Styela clava: one gene and its partner. The protein of the gene in region 1 binds, or shares a complex with, the protein of each later gene. Links are inferred from orthologs where the notes say so. Each region holds a gene or a part of one and is shown in the gene's direction. Other genes may lie near its edges.

Evidence for each region.
Region 2: structural maintenance of chromosomes protein 5-like (region 1) and non-structural maintenance of chromosomes element 1 homolog share a complex: the UniProt entries of both Homo sapiens proteins name them as parts of the SMC5-SMC6 complex. The link is inferred for Styela clava from reciprocal best matches to the Homo sapiens genes SMC5 and NSMCE1.

Annotation. Positions count from the first base shown.
Region 1 is NC_135250.1:26,786,857-26,797,799, reverse strand, and holds the start of structural maintenance of chromosomes protein 5-like, read left to right. Parts: upstream 1-6,741; 5' UTR 6,742-6,793; coding exon 6,794-6,900; intron 6,901-7,259; coding exon 7,260-7,454; intron 7,455-7,850; coding exon 7,851-7,947; intron 7,948-8,016; coding exon 8,017-8,157; intron 8,158-10,943. UniProt on the Homo sapiens protein: Core component of the SMC5-SMC6 complex, a complex involved in repair of DNA double-strand breaks by homologous recombination.
Region 2 is NC_135251.1:24,044,190-24,055,120, reverse strand, and holds the start of non-structural maintenance of chromosomes element 1 homolog, read left to right. Parts: upstream 1-6,853; 5' UTR 6,854-6,911; coding exon 6,912-7,709; 3' UTR 7,710-10,931. Other genes in the region: uncharacterized protein LOC120336825, read right to left, coding at 1-72, 480-605. UniProt on the Homo sapiens protein: RING-type zinc finger-containing E3 ubiquitin ligase that assembles with melanoma antigen protein (MAGE) to catalyze the direct transfer of ubiquitin from E2 ubiquitin-conjugating enzyme to a specific substrate.

The DNA of each region.
Region 1 (10,943 bases):
TTAAAACATTGAGTTTATACTGTAGTATTTTTGTTAATTTTAGGTTCATATATTTAGATTAAGTTATTTTTAGTGTATGTATTATTCTTTCCTTATTCAAAGCTTGTTCAAAAATGATTTTGATGGTTGTACATAGAATTTTACGATTTTTTATAATAAATACTGTAACTTGCAAATGTTGCAATAATAGTGGAATGCAAATATTAATATGTAATTGCATTTGAAATTGAAGAAAATAATAAAACTTAATCCAACTGTTTAGTTGCATCACAATATATGTCACAAATTAAAACTATCTTAAAAATATCTTTTAAGTATACATTATCAAAAACTGTTTGCGGCTCTTTTTACAATTTTCAAAATGCAATGCGGCTCTCGAAAACCCATGAGTTTGACACCACTGATCTATTCTAGACGATTCAAGCATTGCTTTGGGAGATTATATCACTTCAATTAAATTGAAATAATCTCGCTATATTAAATACAAAATCGTTGCTATCATAAAGGTAAACCAATTCAGCCACTCGAAATATATTGGCCTTCACAAAGCAATGGAGGCAAAATTGAGAGTTCATGAGCTATGAACATTTGTCTTTTTCTTTGTCTTGAACTTTCCATACTCCACAGCCCCTATTAATTTTTTTTAATTTTAATTACCATGTGATGGTCATACATGTCTTTAACTTGTATTTTCTGTCATGATGTAATATCTCAATGTGCCAAACTATTAATTAGTGTGCATATTTTGCTTCCAGATGACATAAATGTATTGTCATGTTTATTACCTCAGCTTGGAGTATTGACAAGAAAAAGGTGCCAGTAAATTAGGTAAAAAAATTTTCAACTCATTGTTATAATCAGAATTCACAATCAATAGGAATTATAAACAGCCAACAATCAGTGAGAATTATATGCGAAATCCCTCAGAATAAATTTGTCTAAAATCGGAGGAAGGCAAAAAATATAGGTAGTTTCCATCCACACAAGCATTTCAAGGAGACTTGCTCGAGCCAAACTAAATGAGCATCGTCAGGTGATCGGTAAGGCTGCAAGTTGAATTCAGCCCTGCAACCTCCTGCATAGAAGATAATATTAATTAGTGGGCTATGAGCTAAATTCCTAAATTTAAACAAACCTCTATGATGCATTATGTACCAGCAATGTTACCTACGATTAACTGAATATGTAATATGTCTAATAAATTCACCTACAAAAGCAAGTTCGATAGGTGCAAACTTTGTGTTATGGAATTGTATCGCAGCACAGTTTTGTATGACACCCTCTTTAAATGAAATTTCAATGATTAAGCGCAAACATTAAAATTACTAACTTTGAACTTTGTCATTATCTGCAAAATGTTCCACACAAATCTTTCCGCTATCGCGTTTGTAATCTTCTCTGATAAAAAAAAACGTCTATGATGTCCAGAATTGCTCTTTACAGCTTGCCTGTTATTCCAGCTTTCCAAGTAAGCAAAACTTCTTAGATATAGAGATTATTTTGTTTCGTTACAGGCGCAAAAAGGCAGGTACTACACGTAAAAAAAACGCCGAGTAGCAAAAGCGAGCGGAAAACGGACGCGAAAGGCGACGAGAAATATGTGCATTGGAGCGTATCATGAAATACAATGTTTTGCCTGTAGTCTTATGGAGTGACGTCAGAGTTGCCTATCATGTTGTTTAATGTCATTGGTCTTTATTGACTTATTATTAAGGTCAATGGTTGAACTGGTACGTAACATTTTTACGATGAGAGACAAAGAAAAACAGTAGGCTACAAAACTTCAGTATTGCTAACCTGACACTTTGAAGATTGCTGCACCGGTCCAAAAAATCTTTCATGAGATAGGCAATTTTGAGTTCTGTTTATTAAATGGCCATAATTTCCGAATTGTATTTTCGAACTTCACAATATTATTCAAAATTATTATGACGTGCTCACGACAGGAGTAAATTTGTACACTGTATGATTTTCAGCTAATTGTTGGACCAATGAATCATTTTGTTTAACAATGGCGTTCCTTGTGTTGTAGTTCAGACAAAAAGATAGTTCTGGCCGACGAATCGCTTTTCAATTTTCCGTAAGATAATTATGCCAGAGTATGCCAGAAACATTGTTATACCTTTCCTTATTTTTTGAAGGAAGGGGGGGGGTGCTAGTTTCGAAAAAAATGTCACCAGCACCTTTGTTTTCAGACTGGACGAATTTCTCTGGCTAGCATAAACGCACGTATTGAGAATAGTGCTCATAGACGTATCATAAGATCTAGGTAAGTCTTCTATTTCGTAAATCATAGAAGTGATGAAAGGAAGTTAACCACAATAATGTGGAACCAGCTGTGGTAATTTATATTGTATTATTGCATATTTTGGTATTCTCAACTTATCTGTTTACTGGCAACAGTAATTTGTCTGACGAGTCATACTCGACTTGCTTTTATCTGAGTCATGTTTTGTTGGTGCTTTATCATTTCATTGTGAACTGCTTTAAGGTGCTGCTAACGTTTAAGTTAATTAAAGCCTAGTATTTGTGGATGGATTTGTTTGTGAAGTAATAAACAGAACTTAGGTTACAACAATTTAATTAACTTAAACATGGATAGACTATTCAAGCCAGAACCGCTGGAGTTGGATCCAGAAGCTGCCAGAACTTAGACAGAACTTAGGTTACAACACCAGCGATTTCTTCTTTTTTCGAAAAGAAAATGAGCTATAGAACTTCCGTCGGCATAGTCTGGGCATGAAGGCTTTTGGGCTGGATTCCAGACTTGTCGGCCTAATCCGTATAAACAAAAAAATATATATATAAAATTTGCTTCAAAAATAAAATATATATATATATAAAATTTGTTACATTGAATACTAAAAATACATAATTCATTGGCGTTACGCGTTGTTCAGGGTTTCAAACTTTGAGACAAGCTCTATCATTACTTTTGACCGCGCATGTCACTCTCCTATCGTCTGGAAGTTTGAATTGATTGTATTGTCTACTAAAATCGTTGTTTTTATTGAATTTTGAAAATTTTAAACAGATAACTATATTCTAAGCTTATTTCCTCCTTTCGATTTTCATACCATTCAGAAGTGAAAACATATGGAGGCTTTGAAATACACTGTCCCAAAATATCCCCGGCAGACAATTTTGGCCTCGCTTAGCAGTTATTGCTCACCGTATTTATTCGAATATGACGCGCACTCTGCATAACGCGCTGCATTACCTTCTTATTACAAATTAGTTTATTTTTTAATTTGATCCATGTATATATATATATATATTACACGCGTATACCGCGCACTCTCAAATCTAGCACTGCAATAGGCTTGTTAGATTATGATCGTAATCTGTGTAAGTTGTATTTTAGGTTGCCACAGACATTCATTATATAGGACGTTAACAAAACTTTACGTTTTCTCGCCCACTCGATTCGACAGCGTGCATTTCACACCTCTTTCTTTCGCCTCGTGCACTTGTTGTGTGTGTTCACGTGTAACTTTCCACCTACATGGCCCGCCGGTATCGGTGGGGAAAACTACCTTGCCCACCCCTGCTATAGATATTTATAAAACTTTAATCGCGGAAGCCAGCACTCTTACCGAAAAGTATTCCTTCCCACTTTTAGTCGATAGAAACCTTAACCTTGCTTTGAGCAAATAAAGTGTGTTCTTCGATTCCCTGCGTTATTATGCTGCTTATTTTTTAGATTTCTGCTTCAATTATAATTTTCTAGTTCAGATCAGTTTCAAACGTGAGTAACTAAGCTTATTCACATTACGCTATATCTGTAGCGACATGTTTTAACGATTAAATATGATCGACAGCACTGTAAAATTCTGATTTTGCCAGATGCAAAGCCACGCTATATATTCAACATTCTGATGACAGAAGTAGAAAACCTTATCATTCAGCAGAAAGGCGTAGATTGATCCAATAAATATAGAGCAACAAATACCTGTTCAACTTTTAGAGCAGTCATATGAAGAAGAGGAAACGAGATGCTTGGAGTCAGCAAAGGATAGTGACGTCTACTCCTGTGGAAAATATATCAGTCGAAATAATGACTCAGCAGGCGATCCCAGGATAATAAAATAATAACAAAGAGTCAGTCACATATTCAAATTTGTGGAATACATTAGATTTTCAGGCAGCAAAGTTTTTAATCAAATAAAGATTCGATTACTATTGTGTGTTATTCGTGTCGTGACTAGAAATTTGTGTGGAGTCGGCAGAACCCCATGCCAGTGTGGCAATCTCACTTGTGATAACAGAGCTCAAATACGTGTTACTACAATCTAATCAATATGTCTCTTGATTGTACACTGTTATGTACCACGATTGAACCAATTAGAATTTTTTTTATTGTAGCAATCAAATGTGCGTTTCCACACTTCTTTCTGGTTTTATGAAAAATTCGTTAGACTGTATCACACCTCTTAAACCGGGTATTTTACTTCTAGATTCTAGGTGCAAAATTTGTATAATTTTTAAATTAACATTTACACTACAGAAACTCTAAATACTTGCGCTTCAAAATTAAAGCAGGAATTTCTAATTCGCACAGCCACAGCCTGTCTGTTGCTTAAACAGTGGAATTCTCATGGCTAAGCTTACATACCTATAACGTATAACTCTCATACAAACCTCGCAACAGATAATCCAATATTTTTTCAACATGTATTGTACATTACAACTCGCTTCACACACGTATATTCACGCTTTTTAGCATTGCTATGTATAACTCAAAAAGCACTGGGAAAGTACCGAAAACTTGTTGCTCTTTATTACCGTTGGTGGTTGGAATTTTGATTTGATTTTGCACATCAGTAGTTGTAGACGAATGATTGAAAAAAATAAAGAAACAAACAAACCGCAAAGGGCGCAAAACTGTCAACCGTGACGTCGTCCTGCGGGAGTTGGTTTGTTTTCTTCACCTCGTTTTGACAGTTCAGCTTCGGGATTTTTCCGCGGAAGTCTTTCCGGAGGAGGTTTATTTAGTGATATAGATATCTTGTTTCTTGTTGTAGTTTAAGTGTTAATTATTTTGCTAACTGTAAATATGTCTAGTTATTTGTTGGTAGGTTTTGCGGCTTGAAAGTGGTTTTACACATGCATTCGTCCAGTTGTTAGTGCACGCTTATTTTGCCCACGCTCGGCAGTTTGTCTATTCACCGTTTTCAGGTTCTGTATAAGTATAAGTTTATTTCGACTCCATAATCAGCAATAGACGATAAGAAATAGATAAAAGTAACTGATTATAGAATCGGGAAAGCGAACAAAACCTAGAGTAAGGTTTGAAACGTACAGATTTTAGATGGAAAGGTATTGATAAAAGAAGCAGTACGTGTTCTCTCACCCAAAGTTCGGTTCTGTGTCTGAGTGCCGTACTTCAGCACCGTTACTGGGGTTTTTAATTTAATAATATATGTTTTTTAATTAAAATTGATGAAACTTTGGTGATTTTAAAATTTAATTTAGTCTTACCTTTCTATCTGGGAGTGATCAAAATGCTGAAATGATAAAATTCGTGTGGAATTAATGGATTATGTGATTCTTTGGTTTGTGGGGAATATTTAACACCAGTAGTGTACTAGTTGGGCTACTTTTGTATGTTTTGCTGGGTTCCATGTATTACTTGAGTAAATCTCTTTGAGTACCAATATATTGAGTTAGAGCTGACACCTATGATGATTTTATAAAATTTTTGAATTACTGAATAAGGAATTTTCAATCTGACTGTTATTATGTTCTATGATTCACATTTCCTGCGTTGATGCTTCTATTTTCCATTCATTTTCATATAGGATATGTTTATGTTATTCATTCATGAGGCACTATCCTATTGCAGTATTGCTGTATTGTTACGTCACCATTAATTTTCCGATTTCTTCTCTTTGATTCTGTTCATGTTAGGTTTGGATAAGTTCGATTATTGCCTTTTTGTGTTCATCCTAACTTAAAATGAAAATGGATCAGAAAATGAACAGATAATTAAAGAGTATTTGCATTTGCCAAATATTTTGTTATTAAAATTTGATTTTCTCAAGAGCAGTCGAAATTTTCATTTTTTCAACCTAGAGTCGAGCTCTTAAAAATGTTCCCCAATTTTATAGTCTCGGTCTAAACTAGATGCGTGCAACATTTTTTATCGGTGGGCCATAAAACCAACTTCATCTAGCTGGGCCACACAAACAATTTAGGTAACCATGTACACATCGAACCAAAAAATTTCCACAATAGAAAATTTTGATTGAGTAGCACTTTGAAATTTTGAGTTCTTGCATAATTTGTTAACATCAGCTTTAACAAAAGTTGTAACATAAATTGTCGGATTAGATTTTTGGGCTTGATATGAAAAAATCTTGACAAGGCACACTCCTGTTATGAAACGTTTTCAAAAGGGGAGGAATTCTTTTCCAGGAAGGATTTTTGCCATTTTTGGGGAGTACTTTTGCTTTGTATTCACTGTGGTATTACTAATTTTTTTTTTTTAGTACGATAAATAGTACTTGTTCACGAACACATAATAAACTGTGCAGAAACACAGTTGTGTGTGAGTTGCGTACTAGCAAAGGATCCATTGATGATTGAACAAATAAAGTAGTTTTATGCTTAGGAGGGAGGAAAAAAGAATTCCAAAATATCCACATGAAGAGATTCAACAGAAAAGCTTGAGTATCATTAAACAGTTACCGTAAATTTCATCAGGACCCATTACCAGTTGTCTAATATTGTGTTTATGTCCATCATTCTCTTTGTAAACAGAATTTGGTTTACCATTAGGCTAAAAGCAGTCATGGAAGATGATGAGTCGTACGTCGTTGGTTCTGGACAGAGTAACAGGAAGTCGAAGAAAAAATTTACTCATGGATCAATCGTCAGAATTGCTGCGAAAGATTTTTTGTACGATCAAAATTTTTGTATCTTTGCGTAGAAAAACTTTAATTAATAAACGTGTTTTGAGTATGAAATAATAAAGTTGCTACTAAAATCTGACTGAGAACAGACTGTGAAATTAATAGGAATCGTGTAGAAATGAAAAAAGAACCAGGAGTGTGGAATTTGAATTTGTTTTTACTTGAGCCAGTATCATATTTTTAAACTTCCTGGGTGGAAGTAAAAATTCTGAATTTTTTGATTGATTTTCTCAGATTTCGGAGCTGGAATTCTGGAGCTTAGTCCTGAGTCGGAGACAGCTACAGCCCTTGTCTTGCATTGATTTTATTATTTGAATTTATTTTTTAATTCCATATCTATTTCAGAACATATGACAGCTTCCAGTTCTCGTTGAATCCAAAGTTGAATGTCATTATTGGTCCAAATGGCACCGGTAAATCCAGCATTGTTTGTGCAATATGTCTAGGATTGGGTGGAAAGACAAACTACCTCGCTAGAGCCAAAGATGTCGGAGAATATATTAAATATGGACAAACCAAAGCAATCATCGAAATTGAACTGTAAGTGAAGAATCGTTACTTTTCCATTAATTTGACCTGGATATCGATGAAGCGTAAGAAGCGGGAAGAGTGAATACTTGAGCAAACGAGACTGAAAATTTTGAGCAATTTTTTTTTTGCGGCATCATACTGGAACAGTACCAAATTTAATTTACATAAAAAAAAACTGAATATTTAAATTTAATTTAATCGAAAATTATTATCTACATAATTGTTTTAAATCAGAGTCTATAGCATGCTGTTTACGGTATTTTTGTATGGGGTTTAAAATCATTGCTACTACATAGGGTATCCTACCCTTGGAAGAATTTATATTCTGCAGTACAATATTTTGTGCTCCCCCCTGCTAGGTAATTCATCTTTTCCTGTAATCCCTCTGTTTTTAACATTTAACAGATATGATGAACCTAAAAACATCCTAATCTGTCGTGAAATAGTAAAGCACACAAATTCAAATAAATCAACAACTTCATGGTACAGGGACGGAGTATTGGTAAGTATACTCAGAGTATTCTACCATTTATGGTAAATAAAATAAAATCTAACTTTGATATTCAATCAGGTATCAGCGAAAATTATTGAAGAGACTGTAAGCGGCTTGAACATTCAACTTTCCAATCTATGTCAGTTTCTTCCGCAAGAAAAAGTTGCTGATTTTGCGAAAATGAATAAAATTGAGCTTCTGGAGAATACTGAACTGGCGGTAAGTAATTCATTTATTTGGCATAGTTTCTTGAAAAATTGTATTTTTCGGTATTCTATCTTTTGCTTTAAGCAAGATTACACACTAACGTAAAAGTAAAGGACACTCATCTTGAACAACATTACAGCAGAGCACTGAAAATTCAAGTGAAATCTGTAATAGAATTTTAATGTTATATTTGATACCAATTTAAAGAGTTTTTCAAACGGTGACCTATTGATTAAAAGATTCTGTGGATTCACAATGTTAGCATTGCAGGTTTAAGTTCGGTAAATCAAAAACTCACTCATGGCCACTATCTTAACCAGGATGTAATAAATAAGGTAGCCTACTCTATTAGTGTGTATACCAGGTTAGGGTTAGGCCATAATTTTATTCCGATTTTCCTTATTTTAGTTTTATTACGAGCTCGAGGACTGTCTGTGTTAGCCAAGTGAATATACCCTGCCATAGGTTTCAGTCCCTTTACACAACTTGATGTTCCAAATTGGTACATACACTTCTGGAACGCCAGATTCTGGTCCTTCCATGATATAGTAGTAGCTTACACAGATCCTTGTTCAGAGGGAAAGACATTAAACATCAGAAAAAAAATAAATCATCGCTGTTGAATAAGTACTATCTTGGTTTTATTCAGTCCTTCGAGACTGATGTGGAAACGCACACTGGCCTAACCAACGTCTCATGATGCAACCGAGTCCTTCCATTGTAAAAATTAAACTTGTGTATATCGAGTTACTAGATTGAATAGAGTTGGAATCCTTTTCTGTACCATGTTTGTATACTGGAACAGGCATTCATTGTGTTTGTTTTCAATTCCATAAGATCTGAATGGCATATTGATATTTTTTTCAACTCCTCATTAATAATAAAACTTTCGAAATATAAGAATCAGTTTTTAGGCTTATGACTCTTGTATAAGGAATCTTTTATTGAAAAAAGTTCACACAGTTTTCTGTTCGTTTTGTTCAACAAAAGTACTTTAGTGTGACTGAAAAAATTCAAACTATTTTGATTTAAAGTTATGGGTCTTCTAGTAGTTGGGAAAAGTAGGTTTTGTTTCCAACATTGTCATATTTAATAAACAATTCATAGACGTAATTGGCATCCTTGTGCAATAACAAGTTTTTGTATTGAATATCCTTATACAGCTTTATTAGGTACGATTTCAAAGTCAATTAACAAAGGTCTTTATTAAAATGATCCTAATCTAAACATTCGGATGATTGGGCAACCTAGATAATATAAAAGTTCTGGAACAACCTATTCGGTAGAGATAAATTCCCAGTTTGAAATTATTCTATTGAAACATTTTGCGATTAAGGCCTTTTCGGCACACAATCCATGGCTGTCATTCTTCAGATATGCCACTGGTAACATTTACGGTCCATTCGAGTTTTATGTAACAACAAAAATTAATTGTAGATTTTGTTTATCTTTAATTTATACTTCTTTTAAAACAATCTTAATTTCAAAAGTCGATGATTAGTTATCGCAGGTTAAATACTATAGAAATATATATTAATGTCAGTTGTGTATTCTCCTTTTGAAACAATACAATTTGTTTGCTGTTATAACATTTAATTTATACTGTATTTAAGTTGGTATTCCAGTTATTTCGAAATAGGCTTCAGTGTTAGTAGTGAATTTATCCCTCACTTTGCACACAAAGAACTCTCGAAGAGTGAAAAATACAAACCTCAAATTCTAGTTAATCATTAACTTTACCAAATACCAAGCTAAAAGTACACAAAAGTAAACATTGTCATGCATGCATCCAATGTGTAATAGGCCTTCTGTATTATTTCTGTTTACTGTCTGAGTGAGTTTATTATGGCACAGAATTTTTCATCTTTAGTCCCTGACCACCAACTTATTAAACAAATTAATATTAAAATTAAGAAAGTATTCATCTACTTTTAAAAGTGATTTGCTGTACATATGAATCGTTGTTTTGATTTTCCAGTGGTCCTCCATACATATTACTAAAGAGATGTAATACCGACGATTGCATATAAAAAATAGGAAAAATGGTTGTCAGTTTGCATTTATATGGGGTTGTTTTGTGGCTATCTTCCTTCAATATCTTATCCTGCCTAACGAGAACATTTTCTTTATCTTGTATCTGTATATAGAAGGTGACTGTGTACAATGGCTAAATTTTCATTTAGGTTTTATATGACTTTTGAAGTAATTTTTTTTCCATTTTCTTAAATTTGTGATTATATCCGTGAATGAATTATCGCTCAATAAAAGACTGAATATATTCAAGTTCTTGGTACGTTAGCCAAGTATTTCATGGCCAAAACAAACTCATTTTGGAAAATATTGGATTGGAAAAAATACCTCTTAGGTGTAAAGAGGAATTATTATGAGCAAATGTATGAACGATCCCTAAAATACCATTATCTACTGAATATACGTAGATATATAGTAATGCATTACGTCCATGCTACTGATTAACTTGAGGAGAAATGAGAAGTAGTAATTGCATAAAACAGTGGTTTCCAAAGTTAGTGCTATGACGCATCGGTGCATTGCTAGATAATTGAAATGTGTCACAAAATATCAGTCCGTTTTTAAAAAGTTATTTTTTATTAGACTGCGTTTAGAAAGTACCATACATTCTCGCATATAAGTCGAGTTTATACGCGCATAACTTTGATCACACTAAATTTCATTAATTATCTTCTGCAACAATTTGCTGTGGAAGGTGCGTGCGGTGTGATACGATTTGTAGGGTCGGCCCATATGCGAATTTTTATAAATTTGCGGTTCTAAACCCG
Region 2 (10,931 bases), on another chromosome or scaffold:
CATGTGATAACAATCCAGGGCTGCATATGTTGCTGGAACAAAAAATGCATCGTACCAAATTTTGCCTTGAAGCTGAAACACAGATGGGTATTAGTGGAAATATGTGGAGTTATACGTAACATACAAATTGAGAGATTCAAAAAAGTGGGGAGGGATAACTTACTTACAATGTAAGGCAGGAGGTGTGCAAACTTTATTACAGGAGGGCCCCATACAGATAACTTGATGAAACCGCGGGCCGCACCTTAATTTAACAAAGGCTTTCTTGTGGTTTCAGAAACAAAAAATTGGTTATTGATCTTATGACATGCGTTGTTCGCTTTGCACAAACTAGCTGTTATGGCATTGTAACGTCATAGGCATAATAAAATGGACTCTAGAAAGGCTTTGCAACGCAAAGTGATTGTAATTACTCGCACGTATGTGATTAAACTAAATTAATAACTGAACAAACTGGCACTTCTCTGCGTGCATATTACCTTTGTCCAATCCACAATTTGCTTTGATTTGCTGTTCTTGCAATCGTTTGCGGTCACGGAGCAACAAAAAACAATGCAGAGAAGACAAACTGCTATTTTCATTTTTCCCTTTCTGTATCTGAGCATATTTTCCGCAGATATCGAAATGTATTTTACCCGATTAGTTTCATTGCAAATTGATAGAAATAAATAAAATTATAGAATATTATTATTCGACTGTCAAAGATGGACAAGGCGAATGACTTTTTATCGGTATCGCAGAAGGTCACTGATTAAGTCAAGGATACAAAGGATTTTCAGTCAGCACGATGACATGTCTCATGACAACTCATTAAAGTTTTTAAATTAAACTCAAAATAAAACCCTGATTAAAAATTTGACTCAACTTTCTTCTAAATTTACAAATTTTACCCACTTGAATAATTTGGATTGGATAATCAATTCGAAGCACACAAGTCGTGTTTTTGTCTCAACAATCACAAAAAGATTTTCGATTTATCCTTTAAATAACAGTGAGCAAAATATATCTCACATTAGGCCAAAGTACCAACTACAACGAAAAACTTCCAAATGAGCAGGCTTTCATCCCTACTCTGCTGGGAGCTTTTGAATATATTTCGTGATGAAACCTGAAACGTGCCGCCTGATGTTCTCGATCGTGAAACGAAAACATCAAAACATTGAAATGTGTACCGAAGGCATCACGTACACTTTCCTCGTCTTGAAAAGGGTGCGCGTAAATACTAGAGTTCAATATAATAGGGCTATCTTTTGTTTATTTGCTTGCAGTTATAACGTAATTAGCTATTTTTTTTTATTGAAACATCCCCAACAACCACAATTAATTTTGTCATTAAATGTCCGAAACAAACACATAAAATCATCAACAAATGCATATCACCAACTCTTAAGAAGATATTGCTGAATTGATCTTTTTGTTACCATTTTACATGTAATGATTTTTGGTAAACCTGTTATCTATCGTAATTACAGCACATTTGACTATGTTGTAGTGTAATTTTTTGGCCTAACTTTTTTGATATTTGTAGTTAGATCTCTTGGGGCTCTGTCAAACAAAGTTACATACAAAATATTGGTTGTAGGTTGCAAAACATGATCATGTTGTTGGAATAACTTGGCATTTTACCACCCGTAAACCATTCATTGTCGAGAATATTGATGAAATCATAAAATCTAAAACCCGTTCTCGTGAATTTTTTGTTTCAAGTTTTGTTCGAAGCATTATTTGTTGACGTTTATCTCAAAGACCGAATTGTAACTTGCGGTACTATTCGCCGATCCCCACGGTCTGATAATTCTAGAAATGAAGATTTTTCTAATCTCATGAACACTGTTTTACCCTCATTATCAGAACATATTATAATGATGGGTGACCTTAATTATGATCTGATGGACTAAGTTGATAAATCAATATTCTTTTTATCCCACTATAACCAAACCGACCAAAATAACCAAAAACAGCGCAACAATTCTTGATCATATATGGACAAACATATACGAGCGAAAACCTGTCAGTGCTATTCTAACTGATGCAATCTCTGACCACCTACCTGTAATGCAGTGCATGTCGACAGAACAAAAAACACTTAAAAACGAAGAAAACATTTTTCCTCGATCATTTAATCCGACCAATATGACTAAAGTATTCTTACTACAGATCGCTTTTGAGTAAAACTTTAAACTATCTGAAAAATCGTAGCAAACAATGAATACCCTGCTAGGTCGATGCAAATCTAAACTGTCAAATGTATTTGGTGTAGGAAATAAGGAAACGTGTGATCCTGTATTGATAGCTGATCATTTCAATGATGATTTTTTTACGTTACAGGAAAACGAATGGCTGATAAATTCACTAATGATAACGACGGTAACTTTATGAGGTAGGCTACATGAGCAAATCTAGTAACTCATCAATGTTTCTGGCATCGGTAACAGCCACAAACATACAAGCTATTATTCGAGCTTTTAGACCTAAATCCTAAATCAAGCTTGATGGAGTCCCCATTAAAAGGTTATCAGAACGATGCAATGGAACTACATGCTCTCTCTTATACATGTTTTTAATCCTTCTCTTCAATCGGGACCATTTTTAGATGAATTTAAAATCGCTAAAGTAGTACCGCTTCATAAAGGCGGAGACTTAAAAAATGTCAAAAACTATAGACTGATTAGCTCAATGCCATCTTTTTCAAATATTTTAGAAAAAGTCGATCATTCAACAAAAAATATTAACTTATCATGCTGAGTACGGATGGCGGAATCGAGTCCGGAGTTAATACTAGAATCGATTCCGATGAATTAGAATCGAATCTCGAGGTTAAAACTTGGATTACAAACAATGTGTAACGTTTTGTGGCAAATCCTTCACTTTCATGCATAAACTGCTTTACTGCTATGTTGATTTGATACGACACCGCAAACTGTACAATATATATTGCTAGAAGGACTCTGCGTTTATTATTATCTCCCTGAGTTCTGAGGTTTTTATTTTTGTGCGATTTTGTTTCCTGTGACAGATTGGATACTCGTACTACTTAGTTTCGGCCTTCTTGTCCGTCTGCGAAAAATCGCCACATTAAACTTAAATTTAAGGCGCACATGCACCTTCTATTGCTGTGCTGAAAACCTTTCACAATGAGACGTGTAGCATGTGTTGTTTTTATTTACTTATTATCAACGTGGAGGATGATTTTGTTTCTGTGTCAGGGCCAAAGCGTTAAAATCAATCGACCTCCAGCCAACGGCATTCTGATTATGGAAAGTACTGATATGCATTTTTTACAATAATATCATTTATCATCGAATTCAAGGTGGCAGGATTTTATTAATTTTACAAAACTAATAACGAGATGCACCATTGAAGTCGGTGCCCACACAAGTAATAGGAAGAAAAAAAGAAAGAGGGATTTACATTTATTTGGTAATTACAGAACATAAACATATGCCAGGGATGACGAACCACTGACCCGCAGGTTACAAAGTGAGCCATCGCGTTTTATTCGTGACCCGCCAAGGCAGGAATAAAATTAAAAAAAATGCTAATATATCAAGAATAAAAATTGATAAAACCGGCCTTAAATTAATCTAACAATAACTGAACTATTATAATGTACCGTCAGTTGGGCAGTCAGAGCTGCGATCGCTCATATTCAAATTGTTAATTTTGAGAGCCGGTATGGTAATTTTCAAAACCCCTAATCTTGGACGCATATCTGCATCGCTGTTATTCAGCTATTGGCTTTGACATCGTTTATGACTTAACAATACAATCGATCTGTTCATTTCTCACAACGTCTTGTCTTGTCTCTTTCGGAAGTACATCTGCAGACTGTTTTGGAGGATATACGAGAACTAGATGCTACTTTGCATTTTATTAGTTGCTCGCCTACGATGCCGTTGGGAAAACAAAATCTTTCAGACTTGAAATAAAAACCTAGAAATCTGAAATAACATTGGGGCAGTGAAAAAGTGCTTCACTGTGATTGAAAGCTGATCGAAAAATATAACACCATCAGAGTGGAATTACCTCCAAAATCTTTGAATCCGTAAAATATTTTTTCCGAATTATCACGTTTTGGGCAACGACTAACGGTTTTTGGTAATTCATATGCGTGTTTTCGTACTCTAATTTTATAAAATCGAGTGCCATAAAAATTCCACGATAGAAGTGCTGCATAAGTAAAGCCCAAAACTACACCAACAGAAGCCCATAAGATTTGTTTCAGAGGTTTTTTATAGATACAAACATTGATTAAATATCTGAGACCATGGTTAACCATGCTGAGACCCACTCTCTTCCGTTCCGCGATAAAATTATAATTTTTGACCATCTAAATCAGCTTCCGTGTGCAGTTTGGGGTCAATGATGAGGGAGGTGGACAAATTGTACATAATAATCATTATTTGTGAAATGGTCAAGAGTAAATTATTTTACGTTAGCAGTTCGCATAAAAGCAAACCGTCTGCCAGAAGGTGGCAGTATTGAGCCAATAAGGATTTGATTAATTTTTGTTAGATAGCCTATCACTAGAACGCAGGCGCCGTTTCACAGTAAGCCTGTCTAGCTTACCGCTACCCGCGAGTTTATTACAAATTGCCTAGACAGCGTAGGTTTATTTGTTAGTGTACGCCGTACTGCATGTAAACTAGCTACTAGCAGTAAACTATTACCGTAATACCCGGATAATGCATACATATATCATGATTGTAAGTTGAAAGATCGAAATAAAATTGTATTGTAAGAATAGGATTTCATAGGCTACCGGTAGCTCTGAGGAAGTCTGTAAGTAGACTTTTTCTCATCCTGTTATAGCCTAGCTTTTGGACTACTCGTAACGCTTCCCTTTTTTCATCGGACTAGAGAGCCAATAGCTGAATACAGGAATAACGGTACACAGCGGTGCTGATTGCTCACCAATAAAAATCGGTTTAAAAGGTTTTTAAATCAATAATCCAGTAATATCTGAATATGAAGATGCCAACAAATTTTTGCTCCACAATTGTTGACTAACGTAAGTTACCCTATTATCGCCACTTGCCAATTTTCACCACACTCTCTTAAAATCGCACTGCTGCAGTTGCACTTCAGCACTTTCAGATAGCGCTGAATACGAGTTGTTTTCGGATTGCGACGTCATAAGTGATAAGTATGAAACATATTATGTCGCCCGGTGGAGTACAGACATTTTAATAAAAACATGAATTTTTGAAAAATATAAAAATCAACTGATATCACGCGCGGTCAACTTTTTGGGAGGCGGTAATTACTAATTATCAGCCCAAATAGCGCGACGATGTTTATTTCTTTTAGTTTTTATCAGTCCGTGTTAGATCTAGGTTGAATCAAGTTTGACATGGGAAGTGTTTGTAAAAATTGTGCTATTATTAACTCTCGCATCCACAGGGTGGCGATAATAGAAAAAGAAACTTATGGCTCGCCAAAAGAGAGAACCGAAAAAATCGTGAAAAAACAAAGCAGCAATGCTCAAATATATGAGCACGAAAACCAAAACGAAGTGGTATCAAATCTTCCACAATAACAGTAGTCTCCCTTATTAAAAAAAATTCCGATTTCGATGACCGCCAGAACGCCTAAATGTGATCGCAGAACCGCCATGCTAAGATGCACAATTATTTATTTTGATGACCTCATCGCATAAAACTTAGGGAGTGAAAAACGAATCTCGTAGGGCCGACAAAAATGTTTGAAATAAATAAAAGTAATAGCCTTTCAGCGGCCGCAATAATATTTAATCGTTGAAAATTTCAGAGCAATTGATTATGTATTTAAAGAGAAAAGCGTTTGGAAAAAAAAGTTTGACATAAGTGGCGATAATAGGATAATCGTAGTTCCTATTATCGCCATACCCACATTTCTGCTATATTCGTGAGGTGTCGCTATAGCAAATTCATTTCGCGACTCAATGCTGTTGGCATTTTTTTCTCCGATTGGTAGCTAATGTTCCGGGACAATAGAGAAAAAATTGTTACTTTAGAGTATAGTAGTCTTCGGATGGATTGCAGTAAAAAGTGACGATAATAGGGTAATTTATGTTACATACTAGCTTGCAAGATTTGGCCTGACCGAAAAATGCGAAGCAAAAAAGACAGTATTTCAAAATTGCTTAGCGCTGTGGCGCATCGTGTTGAGTGATAGGAATCCCGTGGGAATAGTTATGGGCGAAAAGATTGGCAGACTAGTCGGCGCTGGTCAGTTATGGCTCTGATTCAGCGTATTTTTTATACAATAATTTTACACGGATGTACTGAACAGTACCAGTATCTGAAGTCGCACAAATACTCTCAAAATTAGTGACAAGGTATAGAAATAATATTTGGGGTCAAAGGTCAAATGTCCATGTTCAAATGTTTGTTCTGATTCAACATATTTTTATCCAATAATTCCATGTAAAAACACTCCCAAAATTAACAGATTAGTAAAAAGGTATGTTCATTTTGCTCTGTTTCAACGTATTTTTGATCCAATAATTTTAAGCGGATGTACTGAACAGTACCGGTATCCAGAGCCGCACAAACACTCAAAATTAATGACAAAGTATAGAAATAATGTTTATGGGTCAAAGGTCAAACGTCCATTTTTGCTCTGATTTAATGTAGTTTTTATCCAATACCAGTAATTTAACGCGGATGTATCGAACAGTATCTAAAGTCAAAATCAGTTGCACGTGAACGCAGGTGTTTTGCATGTCATGAGCTATAATTGCACGCCTGGAATTCTGATTTGCATGCGGGAATTTCTGATTGCACGCCCGATTTCTCGTTCAAAAAGGCCATGAAATCCAGACTGGCCTGGGCATATACCACCATATTTACCTCTTATTTATTTGAGTATAACTTTCCTTTACAGATTGTATAAAACAATATAAATATCTGTATGATAGCATAACAAAAATGACTGCATATGGAGATGCCCAAAAATATTTTTTGCAAGCTATGATGCAAAAAGGATCAGCGACTGACCATGAGTGTGACTCACTCTTAGATGAGTGCTTCAAGGTTTCAGAAAAAAATAGAGACCAGTGGACACTATCATCGTTTATAACATCTGTAAATAAACAAATTCAACCTTTCCACCTAGAAATAAGGAAAGGCAATGATGAAGATTCTGGACAAGATGTCTATGCACTAATAAGTGTCACAGATCATGATATAAATCATTTAGTAATTGGAGGAAATTTCACGAAAATAGAAATTGAAATTTTTCACCGAGCTGTTGATCTTATCGTTAGCTCAAATACAGGAATGGTTTCATCTACTGATATCCTCAACATAACGGAAGAATTGCCTCAGAAAAATATTTTGAAATCTGAAATCGAGATTCTGATTACAAAGCTTGTGAAACAAAATTGGATTGGAGAGAAAGATGGGATGGTATACCTCACCCCTCGTTCAATACTAGAGTTGGAACCGTATATAAAAGCTGAATTGAAGAATGAGGTTTTATACTGCAACATATGCAAAAGTATGGTCTTAAAAGGAGTTAACTGCAAGAGATGCAGAAGTAGAATACACTTGTACTGTGCCTCCACTTATTTCAGGGGTAGATCAATGGACGAATGTAAATGCCCAGTCTGTCATGATGTCATGACGTTACTTCCATCCTTGCCCAATATGGATACATCTCGTGTAAACGGAAGTATGGAAGGTCTGACACCAACAATTAATGAACGTAGAAAACGAAGGCGATGAATGGAAATACTATTCTATACTCAATAACAAAGATTATGGGATATTTCTCGACTATTGTGAATGCTCCACACTTTGTCTGGAGCATTCAAGTTATTTTGAATGAATAAGATTAGGTTTCAGAGTGAAATCATATGCCAAACTGTGTCAATTTTGTATAACAAAAAAATACTTCATAGAACAACATAGTTAAATGGAGATTACTAAGCTGTGTTAATGTTTCGCATAACTTCGTGGCAAAATGAACATACTTTTCAAAGTTGTTTAATGTTTTAGTATATTTTTCAATTCGGTGTGCCACCCATTTATGAATATGTACATACACTAGATGTGATACTATGTAATATTTTACAAAGTATATTTGCTTTATACATTCTAATTTTAGGTGAATATGGCAAAAATTATGACTACCAGTGTTAACTCTAAGCAAATTATGAGTGCGAAAGTGCTTCGCAGTCCAAAAAAAAAGTGCGAAAGTGCTTTTGCCGATTTTAACAAGTTAGGTGCCCTAGCCTTTCATATAACCCATTTAAAACGGCATAGATACTCGAAAAAGCGCTCCTCCGGTTAATATTATGAATTAAAGAGAAGCCTTTTCGTTAACGGAATCCCTTTAAGCGAATTCATGTTTAATTAAAACAAGCGAATTCATCGGCAACGAAATGACATCTGCTAACACCTGCCTACCTACTTTCATGCAATGTATCACGGTGTCAGTTGCTTACTCGCGTAAACAGCAAAGACTTTCACATTTGTTACTCCTTCCATCTAACAGACACGAGGCCGGCTGGAAACCATATTAATTACAGGGTGGATCGTTTGTACAAATCCGGTGCAAAATAATCCCCCCCCCCCTCAAAAATAAATAGCAATCAACTAATTAGGGTTAGGTGCGCTAGAAATTCAACTTTTCGATTCATCCCTAAACCTAATCTGATAATTATTAATTTGTGATTTTGAACCGCTTTGAAAGTCGCCACCCGCTGTTTTAAAAGATAGGTTAACCTACGTTCCCTCCGAAATATTATGCAGGATACTCCCCTGTTTTAGGAGATAGGTTGACCTACTTTCCTTTCAAACTTTTTTCTCCGAAATATTACACAAGATCACTTTGAAAATCCTCCTGTTTCGTGAGCTAGCGTGACCTAATTTCTCATTTACATTTATATTATACTATTTCAGAGCTTCCCCAAAGACAAGTAATTTTTAAATGTCCACATGCCTTGGTTTGCGTGCGAGTTAGTTTAAATCGGGCAGAAAACATCATATATTGGCAAAATGTTTAGTAATGTCATGTACTTTCAGCATTCATAAATAGCACTCTTTGTAATGCTGCTGACCTAGTATCAAATATTCGCATCACAACGCCACTTGCGAGGTTTCCATATATTTCAATTACACTAATAGGAACGATGACATCAAAGAGTTTTCTTTTGCGAAGGTACACTAAATATAACGAGGGTGATTCTTGAGAAAAACATGAATATAAAAAATAAACGAATGATATGATAATGGATCCCAAATAATTTTGAGAGTGTCTCGAAATACCAATCCATTTGATAAATAATTTTTATTCGACCACATGAACGCTGATATCCTGAAAATTAATGTTGAAAGCGAATTACGCATTCTCAAATATCGGACATTCAGTCCCGATATTCAATCGTTCATATGCACAAATCTCACATTAATAGTAATTGCTACCCAAGTTTGTAAAGTTTAGAAACCAACAAACAGAAAATAACTAACCTAAAACACAATTAAAATTCAGTCGGCAATAAATTCGTCGCCAAGACGATGCCATACAAAACAAAAAAGATTTGGTCGCGAGAGTTACGTGAGATGACTGCCTTTGTTTTTTAAGCAGAATGTAAAAAAATTTATAATTAATAAACGGGAGTTACGACGCCCTTTACACATCGTGTGTATTAAACTTCCCTGGTAGGTACTTTGGTGAGTACTATTATTATTGTACCTATACACCTGTTGGAGTATTTCGGACAATTTCGAATTTAAAATAAATGAAAACCAGACATATAATGAAGACGCAAAAGTAAAATGAACATTTATTGAAAAAGTTATTATTTAAGAAAGACAACATGATCGTACAATTCCGCCAAAACCTCGATGTTCGCAAGTGAGATGATAAATAAATACTTCCCTGTATTCGATCAATTAACTTTAGCGTATCGTTGTTCTGCCAACAAACAGCCGGGTGCAAAATATTTCCGTCCTGTGATATGCTCAAATATTCCCGATATTAATATCATACCCTCGCGTATGTACTTTCTATTAGCTCTTTAGTGATCCCTTCCATCCTTGGCCAAGTCATGTTTCGAATATGTGAACATTTTATTCGGCCATACATGGCCGGCGGGATGTTAAAATTGTAAACAAGAGAGAGGTAAAATCAATCGCGAATTTCGTTATAAAGGCTCGTTTACGAATTGTTGCGCCTGTTATCGTCGAAAATGCTTACACTTGCTGTATTTTGAGGCATTCAAGCAGTAATAATTAGGGCATGACATCATCAAAATCGTCAAGTGAGATCTTGATATTGCAAATTCCGTAAATAAAATTGCGAATTATTCGGTAACGAATTCAGCTTTAATGACCGTCGGGGTATTGTTTTGTTGAAAATTATTATTAATTTGAGAGCGCCAAAAACATACAGTCCATACCGATGCGACTGCAATTTATATGGTCGCAATTGGTGTGGCGCGTTTATTAATAGTGTAAAATAAATTAAACGAATATCAATTATAACCAAGCCTGTCAGCGTGTTTATGTTCTGTGGGCAGGAATTGTAAAATACCATCTTGAGACAAATTCACTTCCATTATAAAATCTTAATTTTCAGTTATTATCGTTATACAAATAACGTGTGGCAACTTTTTAATTTATCGTCGATCAAAAAACCGCCCCACACTCGTCCAAACGTGTGTCGAGCTTGAACGACAGGAACAGATTCATCGACGACCTTAATTAGGGAAAATATGTATTTTATTGGGAATGCAAAATAAATGTAACAAAACGCATGTTTTGTGATATAACTTTGTATTTTCGGAAACGGGTTGCCGTGAAAGGTAAAATTTGATCTAAATTAATTGCAAAAATGTTTTATTTTAAATGTAACAAAACACATTTTGCGATATAACCTGGTATTTTCGAAAACGGGTTTCCTGAAAAGTAAAATATGATCTAAATTAATCGCAAAAATGTTTT